Linked DNA regions of Oryctolagus cuniculus. The protein of the gene in region 2 binds, or shares a complex with, the protein of the main gene of each other region. Links are inferred from orthologs where the notes say so. Each region holds a gene or a part of one and is shown on either strand. Other genes may lie near its edges. The genes, in order: IRAK4 and IRAK2.

Region 1 (3,805 bases), on a different chromosome or scaffold from region 2:
CATGGAGCAGGCAGGAATCATAGAATCTTGTCTGTGTCAAAGGCATTTGAGTAATATTTTTAAAATCAATAAATGTTATATAATTGTAGCAGTAGGTATGAAATGCTGAGAGAACCATGTGTCAGCAAGAATTGGGGAAAATTCCAAAGAGAAGGTGAAAGCTTAGTTTGGAGGAATTCCCTGAAGCTGATGGTTGTGCAGAAAACAGAGCAGTGCATTGCAGAGTCTTGTAAAGAACGATGACATCATGAAAGCATGTGGTGTAAAGGACCAACATCAAGAAACCAGTGTCCACGGCCATGCTGGGCATTTGAACTTCATTCTGTAAGCAACAGGAACCAGCTGAAGATCTCACAGTACACATCAGACTTAACTCTTAGGAGGACACTCTGGCAAGGCTGCAGTGAACAGATGAGAACTGGTATAGACTGGCTTCAGGTTCACAAGGAAGTTTTATAGTAAAGCGAATGGAAGATAATGAGGTTCTGAACAGAGGCAGAAGACTGGGCTGGCAACCTGGAAGTGCAAAATTCGAGGCAGCTGCAGGACTGTGTAATCTGTATGACACAGGCAGTCAATCTTTAGCTTGGGGGACAGCGCCTTAGGGACTTGACTGATCAGAAAGGAAACAGGAAGGTTTTGACTGAGGGTTGCTGAAGACAATGAGTTTGATTACTGACGAGTTGATGGGAAGGCTCCGGTGGGACAACCAAGTGAGGTACTACAGACATGGGGTCCCTGAAAACACAGGACTGGAGGCTGTGTACAGACTTGAGTCTCTTTGCCTACAGAGAGAGAGTTAGAGTTAAGATAATATCATGCAGCAAGAACACGGGATAACAAGGCAAGGACATGAGGAAAAACCAGTTCCTAAGGATGAGAGTGAGATCAGACCCTCTGCTTGGGCTCCTTCCTACATTCTTAGGAACCTTACTCTGCAAGCTGTCTCATCTCTGTCTTCCACAGAATCTTTTCCTGCTTTTCTGGACCCTGAGTATAAGCATGCTTTTATCTCTGCTATCTTAAAGCATTTCCTGGGTGGTGTGTCTACTTGCACCTAACACCCATCAGCAGCCAAAGGTCTGGGAGACTTGTCCTCCCTCCTGGGCTCTCGCCTCCCACTTCCTCTGCAACCCCCAGCGGCTCTTCTGAATGCTCCCTCTTGGGACACCCCTCCGTGTTTCCAGGGACTCACTCTGGTCCTGTTATCATCTCACCTTTGTGTGCAGGTACCTTCTGAGATTACTTTTGGGGATCTCTTCCTCTTAGCCACTAATTCTTAGGGTTCCTTGGGACTTAATCCTAGGCTGTTTTCTTAATTTCTCTCTCCCTCCAGGTGAACACAATCATACAGCAACTCTTAACTAGTATCTCTACACAAGTAATAGACATATTTATGCCTTCGGCTCAGCTGTCTTTCAGCTCCACACCTGCACAGCCCACTGTCTAGTTAACACCACCACTCCCACACCTTAAGAAAACAGCAAACACAACACGCATAAAGAACTCATATTTTCCTTCCACTCCTAACTTTCTCCTCTTTCATTCCTTTCTGCACATGTCAATCAGGCCACGTGCATTCCAGACTGCAGGTCTGGAAGCTGTCATTCCAGGAGTCATTCTTAAAACACTTCTCTCATACAACCCTCCCTTCCCACAGCCAAGCTATCAGCAAGCACTGCCATCTCTCTCTCGATCTATGCACTTCTCTTCCTAGGACCTGCCCCCACCAAGACTGCTGATCGCCTACTGCCTGGCCATCTTACACACTGTTCCCCTCTCTCTAGGGCTTGTGTGGCAGCACAGCCAGCTAAGCCAACACCTGCAATACCGGCGTCCTATATTGGAGCACCTGTTTGAGTCCTAGCTGCTCTGCTTCTGATTCAGCTTCCTGCTCATGCTCCTGAGAAGGCAGCAGGTGCTGGCCCCTGCTGCCCACGTGGGAGACCAGGATGGAGTTCCTGGCTTCTGCCTACCCCAGCCCCAGCCCCTACTTCATTGAGAAATGAAGTAGTAGATGGAAAATCTTTCTCTTCCTCTCTCCCTTTCTGTCGTTTTGCCTTTCAAATATATAAATCTTTAAAAAAGAAAAGAAGTGATCTCTGCAAAGCTTGGACATGACACCACATCCCAACATAGTCTTGGGTGGTGTCTCATTACACTTCTGAGTCCCACAGCTTGCAGCTCGTGCCCACTCCCATCATCTCTCCTCACATCTCCTGCATTTTCCACATGCCAATCATGCTGATTCACTTCATGGCTTAACCCAGTATATTCCAGGATTCCCTTCACTGCTAAAATCACAAATACAGTTCCTTCAGCCTAGAATGTTCTTTTCTTCTTCTTTCATAGCTGCCCTCATGTTATGAAGACTTATTTCCTGCTCATTTTTTAAAACTCAGCTTAAATATCACTTCCTTGGGAGCCCTCCTTTATACTAACACTATTTCAATACAATAAAATTCTATAATCTTGTGAAGATCTGATGGAAGCCAATTCTGTACATGATGCTTTTGCTATCTGTTCCATGTACATTCCCTACTGTAGGGAAATACTTAACCAGAGAAAAACATCAGCAGGAGAGCTGAAAGCACTCACAGAGGATGACAGTGATTCAGAAAAGAATATTGACCCACAAACCAAGAAAGGATCAAATCTACACAAGGTGAAATGGTCAAGGACAGAGTAACACGCTCTTTTTTTTTTTTTTAACTTACAGATACTTTATTGCTCACCTTTCACACACAGCACACCTCTAACCATTTTCTTTCACAGCTTGACAATGTTTACGTACACAAAAACCCAGCAAGAAGCATCATGTCACGGAGAAGTCAGTAAGAGAGAATGTAAATCATCAACTCAGCCAGGCTTTTGTTTTCTGCAGCAATAATAAAGGCCGCCTGCACTAAGCAAAAATGTTTTACTTCGTAGCGCATTTCTTCCATTACAAAAAGTCTCCTGCCTAGAGCAAACTAACTTGTATTTGCTGATCCAGTGGTATTAGTAACACGCTCTTAAAACATAGAGCCGGCTGGCGCCGTGGCTCACTAGGCTAATCCTCCGCCTAGCGGCGCCGGCACACCGGGTTCTAGTCCCGGTCGGGGCGCCGGATTCTGTCCCGGTTGCCCCTCTTCCAGGCCAGCTCTCTGCTGTGGCCAGGGAGTGCAGTGGAGGATGGCCCAGGTGCTTGGGCCCTGCACCCCATGGGAGACCAGGATAAGTACCTGGCTCCTGCCATCGGATCAGTGCGGTGCGGGCCAGGGTGGCCATTGGAGGGTGAACCAACGGCAAAGGAAGACCTTTCTCTCTGTCTCTCTGTCTCACTGTCCACTCTGCCTGTCAAAACAAAACAAAACAAAACAAAACCAAAGAGCCAGGCTAAGTGGGGCGAGTCCTAACAGTCGGTCACTGGGTTTGTGGGAGAGGAGACTACAGAAGTCCTTCGTGGAAAGTGCTCTCCTAGACTGATGAGGAGAAGGCCCAGGGGCTCTAGGTTGGGGCACACATGTCAGCAGGGAACAGAATGACCGAGAACATATTCTCTGAAGGTGACTGTCTCTAAGCTCTTCAATAGCAGCATTTACCTTTTAATATCTCTATGAATATGATGATTTTCGTGTAAAAAGCTGATGCCAGCTGCAGCACCCTGAGCGATGTTGCATCTTGTGTGCCATGAAAGTGGTGCTGTATCATCCTTACAAAGAAACAAACCAATTAAAAAGAGGAGGAAAAAAGAAAAAAAAATTATGGAAAACATTTAACAGAGAACATAATGGCACTTTAACAGGTTCATGGAAATGGAATT
Region 2 (3,905 bases):
ATTTGAAAGAGTTACACAGAGAGAGGTAGAGACAGAGAGAGAGAGAGAGAGGTCTTCCATCTGCAGGTTCACCCCCAAATTGGCCACAATGGCCGGAGCTGCACCGATCCAGGAGCCAGGAGCTTCCTCCGGGTCTCCCACGTGGGGTGCAGGGTCCCAAGCACTTGTGCCGTCTTCTGCTTTCCCAGGCCATAGCAGAGAGCTGGATCAGAAGAGGAGGAGCAAGGACTAGAACCGGCGCCCATATGGGATGCCGACGCTTCAGGCCAGGGTGTTAGCTCGCTGTGCCACAGCACTGGTCCCTAGGGTTTTTTTTTTTTTTTTATGGCCGGCGCCACGACTCACTAGGCTAATCCTCCATCTTGCGGCGCCGGCACACCGGGTTCTAGTCCCGGTCGGGGTGCCGGATTCTGTCCTGGTTGCCCCTCTTCCAGGCCAGCTCTCTGCTGTGGCCCGGGAGTGCAGTGGAGGATGGCCCAAGTGCTTGGGCCCTGCACCCCATGGGAGACCAGGATAAGCACCTGGCTCCTGGCTCCTGCCATCGGATCAGCGCGGTGCGCCGGCCGCGGCGGCCATTGGAGGGTGAACCAACGGCAAAGGAAGACCTTTCTCTCTGTCTCTCTCTCTCTCTCACTGTCCACTCTGCCTGTCAAAAAAAAAAAAAAAAAAAAAAAAGCTAATGTGGGAGTCCTGTCCCGGAGGGACCCAGTTTAGATCTCTGGAGGTCGGGCTGGGCGTCTATAGCGGCTTTGTTTTTCTTTAAATTTTTATTTCCGTGTTTGAAAGGCTTGTTCACTCCCAAACACCTGCAATAGCCAGGACCGGACAGGCAGAAGCCAGGAGCCCCCTCGTGGGGGCAGGGACCCGAGGCCTTGACCATCACACGTGCGCCTCCAGGCTGCTGGGTCAGAGGCGGAGCCAGGACTCGAACCCGTGGACACACGTCCCTCCACGCCACAAGCCCGCCCATACTTACCACTGTCCCACACATTGTGAGCTTGTTCAGTGCGGACCTTGTTGGTCTCCTCTGCCCTGCCGGTTCCCAAGTTCTACAATGTGGCCTGCGGTTGGTGACCCATAGTGTTTGTGAGGATAGCCCTGGACGCGAGGGTGGACAGGGGCTCAGAGTGGAGTAGGAAGCCTGGCCGCTGGGGGGCGGTAGTGGCCCCCACTCGGACCCGCCCACGCCCGGCCCCGCCCCTCTCCGGCCCCTCACTGGCTCCGGCTCCGTCCAGTCCCGCCCACGCCCGGGCCCGCTCCTCTCTGGCCCGCCCAGGGCCCGCTCTTACTGGCTCAGGCTCGTCCGGCCCCGCCCCCTGGGCCCTGGCCCCGCCCCCACGCCGACGAGGCTCCGCGCTGGCCTCGCCGGGCCGGCAGTCGCTCGCTGCGCTCCGTCGCGGCCGCTGCCATGCCCTGCTACATCCACCAGCTGCCCGCCTGGGTGCTGGACGACCTGTGCCGCAACATGGACACGCTCAACGAGTGGGACTGGATGCAGTTCGGTGAGGGCCGCGCGGGCGGGGCTCTGTGGTGGGGTCTGCGCGGCTCGGCGCGGGCCGGGGGCGCGGCGCGGGTGGCGTCGGGGGTCCGCGGGCGGCCGCCGTCCCGACTGGAGGCGACGCTCGCAGCTTCCTCAGGAAGAGCTTCTGCGGTTTGCGCCGGCGCGACTGGCACTGCTGCCCCAGTAGCGCGGCCGTGAGCTCGGCGCTTAGGCTGTTCGTGCAGAAGCCGGTGGGTCCCGAAGCCGAGGGAGGGGACCCGTCGGGGTATCGGCTCGGCAGCCGGGAGCCGGGGGCGAGCGCCAGGCCGGGGTCCGGGCGTCTGATCGCCCCGCGGGGGTGTTCCTGGAGATCCCGGCCCGGGGGTCGCAGCCCGGGCAGCGCAGGTGCACCTGCGCTGTGGGAGCAGGTGAGCTCCAGTCCTGCCCGGGGTAACCCCTCCTAGGATGTGGGCGCCCGCAGAGGGCCAGGTGCCAGGATGCTCCTCATGCGTGCCCGTAGCGCGATGACTTCCGTGTGGATCTTTTCCAGAGTCTGTCTTGTGCATTCATTGTACAGGGTAACCTGCCCCCCACCCCACACCTAAAACATAGCCCGGTCATTCCCTTGTCAGACGGTATTCCTTAGCAACATGGAGTTGGGTTTTCTTTTCATGTGTATTTTTATTAAGTACGGTGAGAGAGTGAGCGAGCGAGAGGGGCCAGGAGAAATGGTCGAGGCAGTACGGTGGGATGGAGGTGTGTTCCTCCCCCATATCGCGGGGGTGGGGTGGGGTGGGGCTGTGACAGTGTCAGCTGCCGCCTCATTCTCTAGCCTGCCCTCGTTCCGGGTGCTGCAGTGGGCTACTACTTTGGATTTTTACTGGGCAGGGGACATAAGTGGTGTGGGCGACTTGTTCTAGACTTTTCCGTCCTGGCCTAGCCCTCAGTTGTGAATTCAGATGGCAGTCCCCAGGCATTCAACCAACCAACCAACCAACCAGCTTTGTTGAAACAGATTCCTCCCCCCTGTATTTATTTGAGAGGCAGTTACAGAGAGGCAGAGGCAGAGGCACAGAGAGGGAAAGAGAGAGAGAGAGAGAGAGAGAGAGAGAGAGAGAGGTTTCCATCCTCTGAGAGAGAGAGAGGGAGAGGTTTCCATCCTCTGGTTCACTCCCCAAATGGCTGCAGCGGCTGGAACTACACCGATCTGAAGCCAGGAGCTTCTTCCAGGTCTCCCACGTGGGTGCAGGGGCCCAAGCACTTGGGCCGTCTTCCACTGCTTTCCCAGGCCACAGCAGAGAGCTGGATCAGAAGTGGAGCAGCCGGGACTTGAACCAGTGCCCATGTGGGATGCTGGCACTGCAGGTGGCAGCTTTACCCGCCATGCCACAGCGCCAGCCCCAGACTGCACCTGTTTGTAGAATACAATCCAACAGCATTTAGGGTATTCACAGAGGAGTACTCACTGTCATTGTCAGTCTCACAACATTTCTGTTACCCCAGAAGAAACCCTGTGGGCTTTACTGCTCTGTCTCGGCCTCTCCACATTCCCCCTACCTGAGGCGCTGTCCGTTCCAGACATTTCCCATAAAGGAGTCACAGCATGTGTGGTCCCTGTTTCCACTGCTGAGCGATGTTCTGTTGTATGGGTAGACTGTATTTTACTTATCCACTTAGCTGCGGATGGACATCGGAGCGTTCCCGTTGTTTGGCTGTTGTGAACACTGCTGGTCAGAGTAGACGTGAGCGAGGGTTTATGTGGACATGCGGTCTCATTTCTCCTGGGTGGTTCCCGGGAGCAGAGCTCCTGAGCAGTCTGGGAACCGTGGGTTTGCCCATCTGAGGAACGGCCAGCGTGGGTATCTGGCCTTTCTGGAGGCCGTCCCCTGGCTCGCGGCCATCGTCCCGCCTCTCAGTGATGGCTGCCCTGCCCTCCTGTGTCTCCCGAGGCCGGAGCTCCTGCCTGCCTGTGGACACTCTCAGCGGGTACGCGGGGCTGGCTTAGTCCCCGGTCGTCTCCCGGTCTCAGAGTCCTGAGCTAGATTCCGCCCGCAGGATCCCCTTGGCCAGCAGGCTGTTTGCAGGTCTTGGAGTTGAGGTGGGTGTCTTTGGGGGGTTTATTCCTCTACCTTGGCCCTGCAGGTTGGCGCCCCTGGCACCTTGTTGGGGAGCCCTCTCCTGCGCCCTGCTGCTCTCCGGCCCCATCGGTTTACACCTGTCTCTCCCAGGGACCTCACCTGTGTAGGTCGCCCCTGCGTTCCCCGAGCGAGCCCAGGCCAGGTGCGGTGGGCACCTAGCGTGCACCTGAGGAATGAACTGAAGGGCCGGGAATGCTGAGGTGTGGGGCGGGGGCCGACTTTGAGCCCAGGTGGGCCGTGTCCGCTCCGGGGTCGCTGGCCCGGGAGCCAGCCATGCTGTGCTGAGT

What was found.
Region 1: the proteins of IRAK2 (region 2) and IRAK4 are in contact, whole or in part, in a crystal structure (PDB 3MOP), measured with the Homo sapiens proteins. The link is inferred for Oryctolagus cuniculus from reciprocal best matches to the Homo sapiens genes IRAK2 and IRAK4. Residues at the interface, in NP_001561.3 of Homo sapiens: Tyr6, Ile36, Lys44, Met48, Glu59, Trp62, Trp63, Trp64, Gly65, Met66, Arg67, Gln68, Ala69, Gln73; in NP_001107654.1 of Homo sapiens: Asp24, Phe25, Pro28, Gln29, Lys34, Glu92, Phe93, Phe94, Ala95, Pro96, Ser98, Val105.

What each region holds. Positions count from the first base shown.
Region 1 is NC_091440.1:134,906,824-134,910,628, reverse strand, and holds part of IRAK4 (interleukin-1 receptor-associated kinase 4), read right to left. Parts: intron 3,695-3,805; coding exon 3,585-3,694; intron 1-3,584.
Region 2 is NC_091441.1:116,663,859-116,667,763, reverse strand, and holds the start of IRAK2 (interleukin-1 receptor-associated kinase-like 2), read left to right. Parts: upstream 1-1,342; 5' UTR 1,343-1,408; coding exon 1,409-1,502; intron 1,503-3,905. UniProt on the Homo sapiens protein: Binds to the IL-1 type I receptor following IL-1 engagement, triggering intracellular signaling cascades leading to transcriptional up-regulation and mRNA stabilization.